Linked DNA regions of Macaca mulatta. The protein of the gene in region 1 purifies or fractionates together with the protein of each later gene. This does not show direct contact. Links are inferred from orthologs where the notes say so. Each region holds a gene or a part of one and is shown on either strand. Other genes may lie near its edges.

Region 1 (4,092 bases):
TTTGCTTAGTGCTTTGTAGAGACAACACTGTAGAAAGAGCATTACATGCATTATTTTATTTAATAGAAAATCTCTGGCCAGGCGCAGTGGCTCACGCCTGTAATCCCAGCACTTTGGGAGGCCGAGGTGGGCAGATCACTTGAGGTCAGGGGTTTGAGACCAGCCTGGCCAACATAGTGAAACCCTATCTTTACTAAAAATACAAAAATTAGGACCGGGCATGGTGGCTCTCGCCTGTAATCCCAGCACTTTGGGAGGCCGACGAGGGCGGATCTCGAGGTCAGGAGATTGAGGCCATCCTGGCTAACAAGGTGAAACCCCGTCTCTCCTGAAAATACAAAAAACTAGCTGGGCGTGGTGGTGCACACCTGTAGTCCCAGCTACTTGGGAGGCTGAGGCAGGGGAATCACTTGAACCCAGCAGGTGGAGGTTGCAGTGAGCCAAGATGGCGCCACTGCACTCCAGCCTGGCGCCAGAGCAAAACTCCATCTCCCCCGCCCCACCAAAAAAATGTATGAGTGCATACATTCTAACTGATATCAAAGTTCTCTCCGGGAGCTGGTAACAGAAAATTTATTTCCTTGTTTGCTTACATTTTTACAATCATGAACTTTTCAGAAAATGTCATTTTAGTTTTCTCTTTTTGAAATTCAATTTTAAAAGAAACAAGGGCCCAGTGGCTCACGCCTGTAATCTCAGTACTTTGAGAGGCTGAGGTGGGAGAACTGGCCAGGAGGCCAAGAGTTCGAGACTGCAGTGAGCCACGGTCGTGCTAGGCCACTCCAGCGTGGGCGACAGAGCGAGACTCTGTCTTAATAAACAAACGCCGTAAACATTCCGAAGTGCTTTGTTTCCCATTGGAGAAATCTATAAATATGTCATGGAAATTGGAATCTTTATTCTCCTCCTGTCCCTGGGCTGGTGGAGGATTTTACCGCTGGTTCTACCTAGGCGTAGAGCTGTGTCTGCAAACAAAAAAACTAGGCAAGACCGAAAAAAATTAATGTTCTTAAAATATGCAAGTGGAGCCCGAAAATAGTTAAATTCTTGGACTAGGAAGGCATCCTTTAATGCCCAGGTCTCTGGGTAAGAGCGCACCGAGCCGCTGCGGCCAGAAGCCCCAGGGACCGAAGTGGTTCAGGCGGTAGCCAGCACCCACAGTCCAGGTCTTCTGGGCCGGCACGCCCCTCCCACCATCTCAGCCAATCGGAGCTAAGGGGGCGGGGATGGGCCAGCCGGAGGCGGGACGGACGCAGGAGGGGGTGTGTCTGGGGCGGGGCCTGGCAGGTCCCAGAAGGTGGCAATTTTCGCGGCCAGGGGCTTCTAGGTCCCGGTGGAGAGGCCGGGCTGGCCGGGGCTTCGGCCTCCGGCGTCGGGAAATGGCGGCGGGGGGCAGGATGGAGGACGTGAGTGCACGGAGGTGGCGGGCGGCTGGCCCCGGAATCCCCTTTTTCCTGTGCCGGGGCGCACGGGGCGGAGACTCAAAGAGGGAAGCCACCCTTGGCGAGTGCGGCCGCGGCGGGAGGGGGCGCCGCCTGTGCCGGGGAGGCCTGGGCGCGGGGCTATGGGAGGGCGCCGGCGCCCTTGGGATCCGCGACACGCTAACTCCGGGCTAATTTTCCTGGTGGAGGCTGGGGTGGGGTCCTGGGCGGTGGGCGCGCGGCTCTGGGGGTCCCAGGCTGGCGCCCAGCCCACGTGCGGGTTACGTCTTTGATCCCGGAACTGGCAGCTTCACGTGATGCGCGCCAGGCCTGACAGCCTTTCCTCCCCGCGAGTCTCTGGGAGCTGGGCCACTGGGTTCCGCTCGGACGCCCCAGGGTCGCAGGGGGCGAATCTCCCTTCCTGGTGGGGTCCCTTGCCTTGGCTCTAGAGGCTGTGGACTTGGAGTGACAGCGACGCTCGGGCCGGGCGCCAGCGTCCCGCAGACCTGTGGCTATCATCGCCTGGAAACCCATACGAGAGAAAAAGTGTCATGTGCTGTTTTGAATTTAGCATGGTAGGAATGCAGAGGTTTTTAAATCTTTGATAGATTCAAACCAGATTACCAAAAAAACCAGTGGCCTAGTTTACAGCGTGTATAGTACAGAATGGTAGCATAATTACAAAAATCTTATTTATTTGCTTCAGTATCATAAGGTGTTTTTAGGGGAAACATGTATGTATGCCCAGAATTAACTGGAGTTTCCACTGGAAAGTAATAAAATTTTTCCTCTTGAGAAATGCAAAGTTGACAGTTATATTAAAGCACTAATTTGGGTTAATAAATTAGTAGGAATATTACTGTGATCCTATCACTGAATGAGCTGCATCAGGAAAAGGAAGAGAAACACGAAACAGTTCCAGCACTTCGGTAGCTTAGATTCTTGTGCAGTGAATCTTGATGAAATAAAGACCAAACAATTTCTAATGAAACTAAAATTTTCTATTTTTTCCAGTTGAGAAAATGGAAAATTAACTGTAAGACCTGTAAGTAGATTTGAGACTCATATATATTTAAAGCAAAATTCATTGTTTCTGAGTTTTTAAGGCTGAGCTTCATGAGCTGACAATGTATGGAAAAAAACGAATACATAAGAGGAAAATGAGAGACTCTTAGAAAAACACATGCAGTAAGTGCTTCTTGGTTGATGCTAAGCTGCTCTAGGGTTCTTGGATCTGTAGCTTTTAGTTGTGGGATGCATACAGTACTAGAAATCTGCTTCCTCAAACACTGGAGACTGGGGGCGGTCTGGAAGACTCATGCCTGTAATCCCAGCACTTTGAGAGGCTGAGGCAGGCAGATTACCCGAAGTCAGGAGTTTGAGACCAGTCTGACCAACATGGCAAAACCCTGTCTCCACTAAAAATACAAAAATCAGCCAGGTGTGGTGGTGGGGGCCTGTAATCCCAGATACTGGGGAGGCAGGAGAATCGCTTGAACCCAGAAGGCAGAGATCAGAGATTGCAGTGAGCCAAGATCGCATCACTGCACTCCAGCCTGGGCGACAGAGTGAGACTCTGTCTCAAAAATAAAAATAAATAAAAATTAATTAGAGATTAATGTTTTGCCACCAACCACATATTGGAGTCACTTTAGATCTGAGTAAGTTGCCTGCTTTTGGTATTTCGTAGACATGATTTCTAGCCTTCAGGGAAAAGCTAAAAATTCTGGACCATGCCTTAGTTACAGATACTTAAATGAGTTGAGTCAAAGACTTTGTGTTAGTAAGGATTCATTGTTTGCAGGCAGTGAAACCAACTCTGACTAATTTAAGAAAAAGATTTATTTGAAAGGCTATAGGGCGAGTATATGCCAAGGCCTCTGAACGGACCCAAACAAGGGCATCTCAAGGCACTGAAGTGACAGGAGTCCTTTTCAGGGTCTACCCTGGAATGAATCTGCCTAAACCATGATCTTTCTTCTTTTTTTGTATGGAGTTTCGCCCTTGTTGCCCAGGTTGGAGTGCAATGGTGCGATCTCGGCTCACTGCAACTTCCGCCTCCCGGGTTCAAGTGATTCTCCTGCCTCAGCCTCCCAAGTAACTGGGATTACAGACATGCGCCACCATACCTGGCTAATTTTGTATTTTTAGTAGAGACGGGGTTTCTCCATTTTGGTCAGGCTGGTCTCGAACTCCCGGCCTCAGGTGATCCGCCTGCCTTGACCTCCCAAAGTGCTGAGATTACAGGCGTGAGCCACTGCACCTGACCTCATGATCTTTCTTTTACTGTTCATGGAGAGAGTTGGATTCACCCAACTGTTTTTCGTTCCATGACCACTCCTAGACCAGAGGAGGAGGAAGGGTATTGAAGGATGTTTCCACTAAGACTTAATGCAGAAGTAGACAGTGGGTCCTCAAAGGAAATAGAGTTACTGTCACAGAAGAGGGAAGAGGTACCATGTGGGCAAAAACAACGGATATATGTAGTTAATAATGGAAATGGAAAAAACATTTGACTTCAGGAGTCCTCTTCCCCTCAGCCTTCACTTGCAGATGGTAAGTTCATAGAATGACTGGGTGCTGTTTATATGGTTATGCTGCATATTTCCTATAGGATTCATTGGAAAGTAAATACTCCTAAGTGACATAGAGAAGAACCATAGTATAGTCC
Region 2 (3,382 bases), on another chromosome or scaffold:
AATATTGGAAGGCTAAAGAGAAATCTGCATTAATTTTAGTATTGCATACAGAGGCCAATTTATGAGCACAAAGTACTAATGCCCTCAATTGGCACTGGCAAGCAATTATCTCTAAAGCACCTAAAAAATGGATTGAAATGCCCTGTTGGAATAGTCTTGTATCTTGCAATTTAAAAGATTGAAATATCCAGTTTTTTAAAAAAAGGATTAAACAATAAGATTAATACCTACTCTAAATTTTAAAAAGCTTTTGTATCTTTTGTCATTGCAGCCACATAAATACAAATATATTCAAAAAGCATTAGAAAAGCATTTATTGCTAAGAACATCATAATACCAGCCCCTGTTCAAATCTACCAGTATATCTCTCATAGGTCAAATATGCAGCAATGCCAAAGTAGCTAAGTTAACCTGCAAACAAAAATCACAAAAAAAAGAGCAAAAGGAGCAAGTACAAATCCACTGTAGAACATGTTGTTCCAACTCAACTACATGCAGGGAAAAAAAAAATCTTTTTCAAAAATTGTTTTTTCTAAACTGTGTATTTTTAGTCTAAATGTCTAAAATGAAAACACTGAAATACTAATTCAAGACAGTAAAACAGAACCTATAATTCAGTGATTTTGCACATCTTTTGCTGTAAAAATAAGTTTTAAATTGCTTGGTTGGAGAAACCAAAGTCAGGCAACTAATTTGTAGTTGATAGTTTTTTGTTTAAGTTTGAAATCCCCCACACCACCCATTCTAAAGAGCCGGACTGCAACTAAATATACCTTAAATTGACCAGTATTGCATGTTGGAACTTGTACTTGCTTTTTTCTTTTGTAACAGAGATCACGTATTGATTAGTGTTACAGAGTCTGATATCCAGCATAACTTTTTCTTCTGCCAATTACGTAAGCAATCACTATAACGATAATCAAGCCTGAAAGACCAGCACCAACTATAATTGGGATTAGAATGGTGTCATCATCCAGCGAACACTCTTGGGCTGTAGGTGAGAAAAAGTGTGTAACAAATAATGAGTATAATCACAAAAGAATGTCCTAAAGTAAAAGATGTTGATTTAAAAGTCAGAAATGTTCTTACAAGATCAACTTCAAGTAACTAAGACAGGTATATTTTTATGATAAAGCTATAGAAAATGGAGAACTGTTCTAGAATTAAAATTCTAAGACTTTGTTCTTTCATTTGTTTACGTGTATATATGTAGATATTCATATATATGAATACATGCATATTCATTTACATCTATAAACACAGCTCATATCATAATATATATATCATGATAATATATAATGCACACATTACACATGATATATAATGAACACATTATATACATGATATATATAATGCACACATTATATACATGATATATAATGCAATTATATACATGATATATAATGCACACATTATATATATGATATATATGTTTGCATATACATATATACACACGTATATGTTTGTTTATATTCCAAGTCCTTTCCAAAATAGGAGTATTACTTTATCACAAATTAAGGGAGCTAATCTAGCCCACTTTTACATAGCCAGATTAGCCGCTCAGTGGTAGCATGAATGTCTTTTGGGAAAGTAGAAACAGGATCAGGAAGGTATCATGTGATGAGAATAGCCAGGCTGGCTCTGGAGTCCCTTTAGAGTCAGGGGTCAGCAAGCTGTAGCCCATGGGCCAAATCTGGTCCAAGAGCTAAAAAGGGCTTTTACATTTTTAAATGGTTGAAAAAAATATTTTGTGACTCATGAGAACATATAAAATTCAAATTCCAGTGTCCATAAATAAGGTTTTATTGGAACCCAGCCCATCATCTGTTTATGTGTTGCTGTTTTCGTACTACAATAGCAGAGTTGAATAGTTGTGACAGAGACCATATGGCCCCAAAGCCTAAAACACTTACTGTTTGGAACTTTAAAGTTTGCAGATCATGACTTAGAACATACAATTTTAGTGGCTGCAAAGTCAAGAAACTGGGACCTCTTACTAATTTGAGTGTGCTTACTGCATTTCTTATCTGGTCAGGGTTGGCAGCCTAAAGGGGCTATTTTTTTCTATTTCTAGAAAGTGGTCTGATCCAGTAAAATCCAATCAACACTCTTCTGCCTTATTGCAATTCTATTTCTTTCCCTTACAGTCAAATATTACCTATGTGTTGTATTTATAGGTACCCACAGCCAAGAACCTAGTTCCACGAATAGATTATACATTCAATATCAGTATTAAATGTTGTATATCTCTTTGGGTGATATTTTTAATTCTACATACATAAAAACCAAAGTTTCAAAGTGAGAGAAAGAGCATAGCTCATCTCTATTACAGTTGACTAGATAAACCGTCTTGAAGTGATGATACTAATACTGCAAATGATTTTAAACTGTAAACACAAATCTGATCTTAAAATTAGGGGAGTAATGAAGGGGAGCCAAATAAAAAGTCCAAAAATAAAGCTAGTAAAGGATCAAAATAATTGAAGTGCATAAGCAAAACAGGCAAAAGGGAAAATGAATACTTGAAAATATTTTTAAAGTGTAACTAACGTCTTTAACCACAAGAATGGTAGGGTGGAGAGCCCAATTTATTGTGGCCTAACCAAGTCAGACTAGGTATTCAACACCACTGCAAAAGCAGTCGACTGGCTCACAGTATATTCGCTTCTAAACACAGCTTCCACATTTCCTTCCAAACCATAGAATTAATGGTTGAAAAGTATGTGGATGACTGGAATAGCTCTGCTCAACAGAGTTGTGATCCACAAACCCCCAATTTTAGGTAATGGGCTTAAAAGGACAAGTCAATTAAGGAATTTTACGTGCTTTTTTTCTTCATGCAAATTTTAATCTTATAATGCCAAATATGTCTTTCATATTCGTATGAACACATTATAATGAACCCATCAAACAAGGGTTTCATTAAAAATCTAATAAATACTACCATTAGCCCTGAGTGATCTTCAAAAAGCCTCATTCACACTGGCACATGCTTTGAAAACTCTCCAGATCGTTTTGGCTTGTAAAAACATAGTTCATGATATTTGAGGTTTTGCTACCACTCTTTTATCTTTTGTCTTAACAAAATCAGACCAAACTGCTTTCATTCAGGTATGAAAATGTTTCCAGTGAGAAGACGGCCTCAGGAAGCAGATGCAACATGCTCAAAGCTGCCGCTCCCAAGTGCCATCTTCTCTACAAACTAAAACCCATACCTCAAATAAAGCTCACTTAAAGCTTCTATCAGTTTTTAGCTTTAAGAACTTTTTTGCCAATGATTTTAAGTTCACAAAAACATCTCGGTTGAGCAAAATGATGAGCCAAATATAGAGGCGTACAATTTGCTCAAGGCTATGAGACCTCTGATGAATTCATATTCCTC
Region 3 (3,500 bases), on another chromosome or scaffold:
GTTCGGGGGTCATGGCAGTTCCTCTTGGTTCAGTTGGCCCGTTGGTCCCTGGACCTGGTGATGGGCATGTGTGGTCCTGGTCCCGGGTTGCTGATGGTGGAGAGGGGGCATGGTGCCCAGGGGCCTGGGAGTCCCTGGGGAGGTGACTTGGGTGGGTGTGGGTCCCCGGCACCACGCAGCGAGCAGCTCTGTGGGTGTCCCCAGCAGGTGCTGGCTGCCCTCTAGGAGGAGCATAGGGGGGCCCTTCCTTCTGGGAAAAAGGTTCTCCCCCAGGGTCCCCACCTGCTGCCACTGCTTCAGCATGGGTGAGCCATGGTCAGGCCACCTTTGGAAGGGGGCCTCGGCCTTAGTTAGTTTCCTCTTCTCGGGCAGACCTGAGTGGAGGGTTCCATATAAGAGGGGTGACTGGGGGTTGGGGGCTTTTGCCCTGGGGGTAGGCAGCGTGTCAGCCGGCGGCCTCCTGCCCTGAGCTGTGCCTGGTCACTGCCCCATACTCTCCAGGGCTGACAGGGGCAGGTTCACCTCATGTGGCTCACTTGGCACTTGGAGTCTCTGGGCCTGACGCCTGACCTTGGGGCACTGCTGGCAGAATTCCGGCCGTGGGGCTGGCCTGGCCTCTTTACTCTGTCCATTGCCTGGGCAGTGAATACTCCTTAGCAACACCCTGGGCTGAGCTGCTCACTGGAGGCCAGGACACAGGTGAACCAGCTGGGCCATTTCCCCAGGAGCCTTGGGGCACAGGCGAGGCAGCGAGGTGAAGAGGGGTCCCCTGAGGGCAAGAGGGCACACAGGCATGAGTGCCCACATAGGGGAGGAGGGCACACAGCCTGAGTGCCCAGGTCGGGGAGGCGGACACAGGTATGAGTATCCAGGTGCGGGGAGGGGCACACAGGCCTGAATGTCCATGTGGGGGAGGGGCACACAGGGTGAGTGCCCAGGTGAGGGGAGGGGCACACAGACTGAGTGCCAGGTGGGGGGAGGGGCACGCAGTTGTGAGTGCCCAGCTGTAGTCTCAAGGCAGCGGCTTGGGCAGGAAGTGAAGCCAGGCAGGAGGGAGGGTCTGAGGGCTTCTGAAAGCATGTTTGGTGAGGAGAGGAGGGGTGGAAGGCACTGATCGGGTTTCTACACTTGGGATTGCAGAGGTGTTGACAGGAAGCAAAGGCGGAGGAGGCTGGAGGAGGGCGGAGGCCCTGAGCAGTGCTGGGAGGACTGGGTCAGGCCTGGTGCTGCCTCGAGTGACGGGCAGCGGGATGGTGGCCAGCTTAGCTGCAGATGCCCTGGCGGGATGGCAGGACCACCCGACACAGAGAGCTTCTCTAACGGGACTGGCAGGATTTGCTGCGTTGAAATCTTGTACTTGAGTCATGTTTGGAAACGAACCCAGGCGACGCGGGCTGCAGGTCCTGGGAAGTGCAGTGTGCTGCTGCCCAGAAGCACCTTGGCCATCGCTGGTCTGGATGAGGGGAGATGAGTGGGCGTGGTTCGGGAATGCAGCTGGAGGCTGTTCCCAGGAGCAGCCAGTGCAGAGGCCCTGAGGCCGGACCCAGCCATCCCAACTTCCCAGATTGTGCCATCACCCCCTCCTAGAAGCCTTCCTTGGTTTCTCTTCTAGACAGACAGACAGGGTCCTCCCCATTGGGCTCCTGGCATTCACTTCCTTGTCTGCCCCCAGCCTTGACCCTGATGTCTGGCTGAACCTTGGCTCTTGAGCAGACCAGGAGAACCTGAGGGTTGAGGAAAACCTCTTCCGGGGCAGGCTGGGCCCACGCAGAGCAGCCCCACCCCAGGAAGAAGGGAGTCCGTCCCTCCTCCTGCCTTCTGGGCCTTTCCATCCCTGCAGGCCCAGAAAGCCCCTCCTTCAGGAAGCTCTCCCCGATTGCCACATTCACCCCCTTACTCCTGACCTGGCCCTCCTGTGCTTGGGGGGTGGAGTGGCAGCTGACTCCTCCCTTCCTTTCCTCCTAGGGACCCAACTGCGCAGCCCGGGGGTGAGCTGATGCTGGGCGGCACGGACTCCAAGTATTACAGGGGTTCTCTGTCCTACCTGAACGTCACCCGCAAGGCCTACTGGCAGGTCCGCCTGGACCAGTGAGTAGTGGCTGCAGTCCGCTCCCCTGGGTTCTGTGGGTGGGAGCGGCATGCAGGGACCCTGGAGGAACCGGGTTCTGCAGGTGGGGCTGCCTGTGGGGAGTGGTGGAGCTGGGCAAGAAAGAGATGGGGTCGGACCAGCCCTTCATGCCCCTCCATGCCCCCCATCCCCTCCATCCCCTCCATCCCCTCCATCCCTTCCATCCCCTCCATCCCCTCTATCCCCTCTATCCCTCCATCCCCCCCATCCCTCCATCCCCTCTATCCCTCCATCCCCTCTATCCCTCCATCCCCTCCATCCCCTCCATCCCCTCTATCCCCTCCATCCCCTCCATCCCCTCTATCCCCTCTATCCCCTCTATCCCTCCATCCCCCCCATCCCTCCATCCCCTCTATCCCCTCTATCCCCTCCATCCCCTCCATCCCCTCCATCCCCTCTATCCCTCCATCCCCTCCATCCCCTCTATCCCCTCCATCCCTCCATCCCCTCCATCCCCTCCATCCCCTCCATCCCCTCTATCCCTCCATCCCCCCCATCCCTCCATCCCCTCTATCCCCTCTATCCCCTCCATCCCCTCCATCCCCTCCATCCCCTCTATCCCTCCATCCCTCCATCCCCCCCATCCCTCCATCCCCTCTATCCCCTCTATCCCCTCCATCCCCTCCATCCCCTCCATCCCCTCTATCCCTCCATCCCCTCTATCCCCTCTATCCCTCCATCCCCCCCATCCCTCCATCCCCTCCATCCCCTCCATCCCCTCCATCCCCTCCATCCCCTCCATCCCCTCCATCCCCTCTATCCCTCCATCCCCTCTATCCCCTCTATCCCTCCATCCCCTCTATCCCCTCTATCCCCTCTATCCCTCCATCCCCTCCATCCCCTCCATCCCCTCTATCCCCTCTATCCCTCCATCCCCCCATCCCTCCATCCCTCCATCCCCTCCATCCCCTCCATGCCCCCCATCCCCTCCATCCCCTCTATCCCTCCATCCCCTCCATCCCCTCCATCCCCTCCATCCCCTCTATCCCTCCATCCCCCCATCCCCCCCATCCCTCCATCCCCTCCATCCCCTCTATCCCCTCTATCCCTCCATCCCCCCCATCCCTCCATCCCCTCCATCCCCTCCATCCCCTCTATCCCCTCCATCCCCTCCATCCCCTCCATCCCCTCCATCCCCTCCATCCCCTCTATCCCCTCTATCCCTCCATCCCCCCATCCCCCCCATCCCTCCATCCCCTCCATGCCTCTGTGACTCTCCATGACCCACCATCCCCTCCATCCGTCTATCTGTCCATCCCTCTATGCCCTTCATCCCCTCATTCCTCTGTGACTCTTCATGACCCTCCATCCCCTCCATCTGTCCATCCCTCCATCCCTCCATGCCCCTCCATGCCCCTCCATCCCCTCCATC
Region 4 (3,500 bases), on another chromosome or scaffold:
TCCTCGGGGAGCGGGAGACGGACGAGCCTCCTGGAGCCCAGCAGTCACTCCTCAGCCTTTAAGCAAGACTGCTGAGGAATGTTGCAAACCAAAGGTCTCCACAGCAGTTCTCAAGACTAGAGAAGGCTGTGATGTCTCCATATATTTCTAGAAGCCAGGAAAGCCCACCCTAAGGGATGTCTCCACACATATTTCTATCAGCTGGGAAAGCCCACCCTAAAGCAAATCACAGGCTCTCACACTTCAGCAAAATGACAACAACCTATGACCTGGACTGTGAGGCTCAGGAGAGAAGCTCCTCAACAGTAAGAGGATTTACCAGGTGTTTGCTACTGAACTCTGGGCCAGATGCTGAGATACACACTTTGCATGCATTTCTCTTTTAATTCTAACAATCTTCCAAGACAGGCTTTTAATCTTATCCCACATGCAAAGAAAATGAGAGGTAAACTACTCTGCTCAAGATCACAGGGCCAGAAGGTGGCCTGGACCCTGCCTGACCCCAGAGCCCGGTGGCTGGGTTAGCAGGTGCATCATCGCGGCCCTGACCTCCTCAGAGAGGCAGTGCTGGTCTTTCTGCACCTGTCCCTAAGCTGGCTGGCAAGAGCCGGATGGAGGTGAGACTAGGTCCCTGTGTGAAGGCAACTGGCTCACACTGCGAGAGATCTGTGACCTGATCCCACCATCTCTGCCCCAGCAGAACTGGCTCACACTGCGAGAGATCTGCGACCCTGATCCCATCATCTCTGCCCCAGCAGAAGCACAAAGGTTTCAACTGCTTTGCCCTTCTGACATTTTCAAGTAATAATTGTATGTATTTACCATGTGTCAGGATGTTTTGAAATACATCTACAGCTAAAATCAAACACTTTTTTATGGTGAGAAGAGTTAAAAATACATTATTAACTGCAGTCACATGCTGTACAACAGATCTCTCCAACTAATTCCTCCTGCCTTCCTGAAACTTTCTATCTTCTGACCAACTTCGCCCCCCAGCCCCTGGTGACCACCATTCTCTCTACCTCCCCGAGTGCTACTTCTTTAGCTCCCCTGGGAGGGAGACCACACAACATCTGTCTCTGTCCTGGGATATTTCACTTCAATCTTCTACCCTTTATAATCAACATGTGTCCACCCTCATCTACAAGTCACCTGCCCTAGGAAGAAGGATGAGAACGTTCTGCAGAGACGTCCCTGGCCGTGTGCACACGCCTTCCAAGCAGAGCCCAGCGCCAGGACACAGAGGAGTGAGGTCACCCACAGTCACTGCAGCCCAACTACCCACCCACTAGCACCAGAGGGCCAAGGGTCAGTGTCCTACCTTCCCTGCTGAAGCTGCTGTTGGAAAGGTACGCCTGGATGGTGGCATCGTGGAGCGTGACGGTCACGTTGTTCATGTGGACCTGGGTGCCACTAACACATCTGTATTTTTTATCTATATCTGCCCTGATGTCAGTTATAGATTCCACAGTCTTGATTTCTAGATTAAAAAAAAAAAAAAAATCACAATTGCAAACCACTTTTAGTACTTAGTTTATGTGTTTTTTATTTTAGCCCTGACATCAGTTACAGATTCCACAGTCTTGATTTCTAGATTTAAAAAGAAAAATCACTTGTCGTACTTAGTTTATTTTATGTGTTTTTTATTTTTTTTGAGACGGAGTCTTGCCCTGTCGCCCAGGCTGGAGTGCAGTGGCGTGATCTCGGCTAACTGCAACCTCTGCCTTCTGCGTTCAGGTGATTCTCTTGCTTCAGCCTCTTGAGTAGCTGGGATTACAGGCACGCGCTACCACGCCCAGCTAATTTTTGAACTTTTTGGAGAGAGGGGGTTTCACCACGTTAGTCAGGCTGGTCTCGAACTCCTGACCTCATGATCTGCCCGCCTCGGCCTCCCAAAGTGCTGGGATTACAGGCGTGAGCTACCATGCCTGGCTGCGTGTTTTTTAATTTTTTAGAGAGAGTCTCACTCGGTCACCCAGGCTGCAGTGCAGTGGCGCCATCTTGGCTCACTGCAACCTCTGCCTCCTGGGTTCAAGCGATTCTCCTGCCTCAGCCTCCCGAGTAGGTAGGATTACAGGTGCCTGCCACCGCACCTGGCTAATTTTAGTATTTTTAGTAGAGACAGTGTTTTGCAATGTTGGCCAGGCTGGTCTCAAACTCCTGACCTCAAGTGATCTGTCTGCCTCAGCCTCCCAAAATACTAGGATTACAGGTGTGAGCCACTACACCCAACCTGTAATTCTCAGGTAAAAGTAACTTTAGACAATCCTCCAACCCAATTTTCTATCACTTTATAATCGGCCCACTTTGGTTCTTACCTTTGGAGCTTGCATTGGGGAAAAGGTGTGTGTCTGACAAGTTATAAACAAAACTCATGAGCTGGACGCTGTAACGAGTTGCATTTCTTGTGAAATTGAGGGTTAGTGTCTGTCCTCTTCCAAAAGCGATCACGAGGCTGGGGTCAGAAGTGTTCTCTTTGCCACAGGAGCTGCTGTTGAGCACTACTTTGGCATCTGATGGCAGGTCAAAGGTCATGTTCTAGAATAAACACAATTAAATATAACCCAATTGGGATACAGGTTATTAAAAGTTCAAAGAGAGATTTTCTGTAAGTCTGATATAAACTTATACTCCATTTCCAGCTATCACTACTGAGATACTCATTTTTAATATAAACCAAAGAAAGGTTAGTATTACATGTCAGTAACAGACTGAAAAGTATTTCCGGTATAAGAGACAGTTGACTTAATAATTCTTATAATCAAAAATTTGCAGCTGGGCACGGTGGCTCACGCGTGTAATCCCAACACTCTGGGAGGCTGAGGTGGGGGGACTACTTGAGCCCAAGAGTTCAAGACCAGCCTGGGCAACATAGCAAGACCCCATCTCTACAAAAACAAAATAAACTAATTGTGGTGGCATCTGCCTGTAGTCCCAGCTACTCAGGAGGCTGAGGCAGGAGAATCGCTTGAGCCTAGGTTTGAGGCTGCAGTGAACTACGATTGCACCACTGCACTCCAGCCTGGGCAACACAGCAAGACCCTGTCTCTAAACAGAACAAAACAACCCCATAAATTTTCTGTTAATATAACAGAATTTAAAGCGTCTTGAAATTGAAATAATTCAAACCGGTTTCAGGGTGAGATATATATTTGAGAAAAGCTATCACTACTTTTTTGCTATAGAAATATTCATTTAAATAATGTTTCTTTAAACAAAGGAAGTGTTCATAGCAGAAATGTTTAAATTTACTATTATAAGCAAAACAAGCAACTGGAAAACCACCTAATGTTCATCAAAATAAACCAGATAGGTCAAATGAACTACAGTGAAGCAGTATACTAATGTGGGCCAAAAAAACACCACGAAACTACAGAGGTGATAAAGACATGCATAACAGCATAAGGTGACCTCATTTGTGAAACATAATTTACAACAAAATATTTTAAAAATCCAACCACCAAAACCAAACATTAAAAAAGTGATGTAGAAATTAAATA

What was found. Proteins that work in one complex are often made in the same cells at the same time.
Region 2: the proteins of TMEM192 (region 1) and LAMP2 purify together in Homo sapiens (affinity purification with western blotting; 5 studies listed by BioGRID and IntAct, with this or other methods). This does not show direct contact. The link is inferred for Macaca mulatta from reciprocal best matches to the Homo sapiens genes TMEM192 and LAMP2.
Region 3: the proteins of TMEM192 (region 1) and CTSD purify together in Homo sapiens (affinity purification with western blotting; 3 studies listed by BioGRID, with this or other methods). This does not show direct contact. The link is inferred for Macaca mulatta from reciprocal best matches to the Homo sapiens genes TMEM192 and CTSD.
Region 4: the proteins of TMEM192 (region 1) and LAMP1 purify together in Homo sapiens (affinity purification with mass spectrometry; 3 studies listed by BioGRID and IntAct, with this or other methods). This does not show direct contact. The link is inferred for Macaca mulatta from reciprocal best matches to the Homo sapiens genes TMEM192 and LAMP1.

The regions. Positions count from the first base shown.
Region 1 is NC_133410.1:173,665,560-173,669,651, reverse strand, and holds the start of TMEM192 (transmembrane protein 192), read left to right. Parts: upstream 1-1,292; 5' UTR 1,293-1,379; coding exon 1,380-1,406; exon of another isoform or gene 1,407-1,972; coding exon of another isoform or gene 1,973-1,996; intron 1,997-4,092.
Region 2 is NC_133426.1:126,838,806-126,842,187, forward strand, and holds the end of LAMP2 (lysosome-associated membrane glycoprotein 2 precursor), read right to left. Parts: intron 992-3,382; coding exon 852-991; 3' UTR 501-851; downstream 1-500. UniProt on the Homo sapiens protein: Lysosomal membrane glycoprotein which plays an important role in lysosome biogenesis, lysosomal pH regulation and autophagy.
Region 3 is NC_133419.1:1,675,292-1,678,791, reverse strand, and holds part of CTSD (cathepsin D), read left to right. Parts: intron 1-1,965; coding exon 1,966-2,088; intron 2,089-3,500. UniProt on the Homo sapiens protein: Acid protease active in intracellular protein breakdown. Plays a role in APP processing following cleavage and activation by ADAM30 which leads to APP degradation.
Region 4 is NC_133422.1:107,561,874-107,565,373, reverse strand, and holds part of LAMP1 (lysosome-associated membrane glycoprotein 1), read right to left. Parts: intron 2,539-3,500; coding exon 2,319-2,538; intron 1,481-2,318; coding exon 1,322-1,480; intron 1-1,321. UniProt on the Homo sapiens protein: Lysosomal membrane glycoprotein which plays an important role in lysosome biogenesis, lysosomal pH regulation, autophagy and cholesterol homeostasis.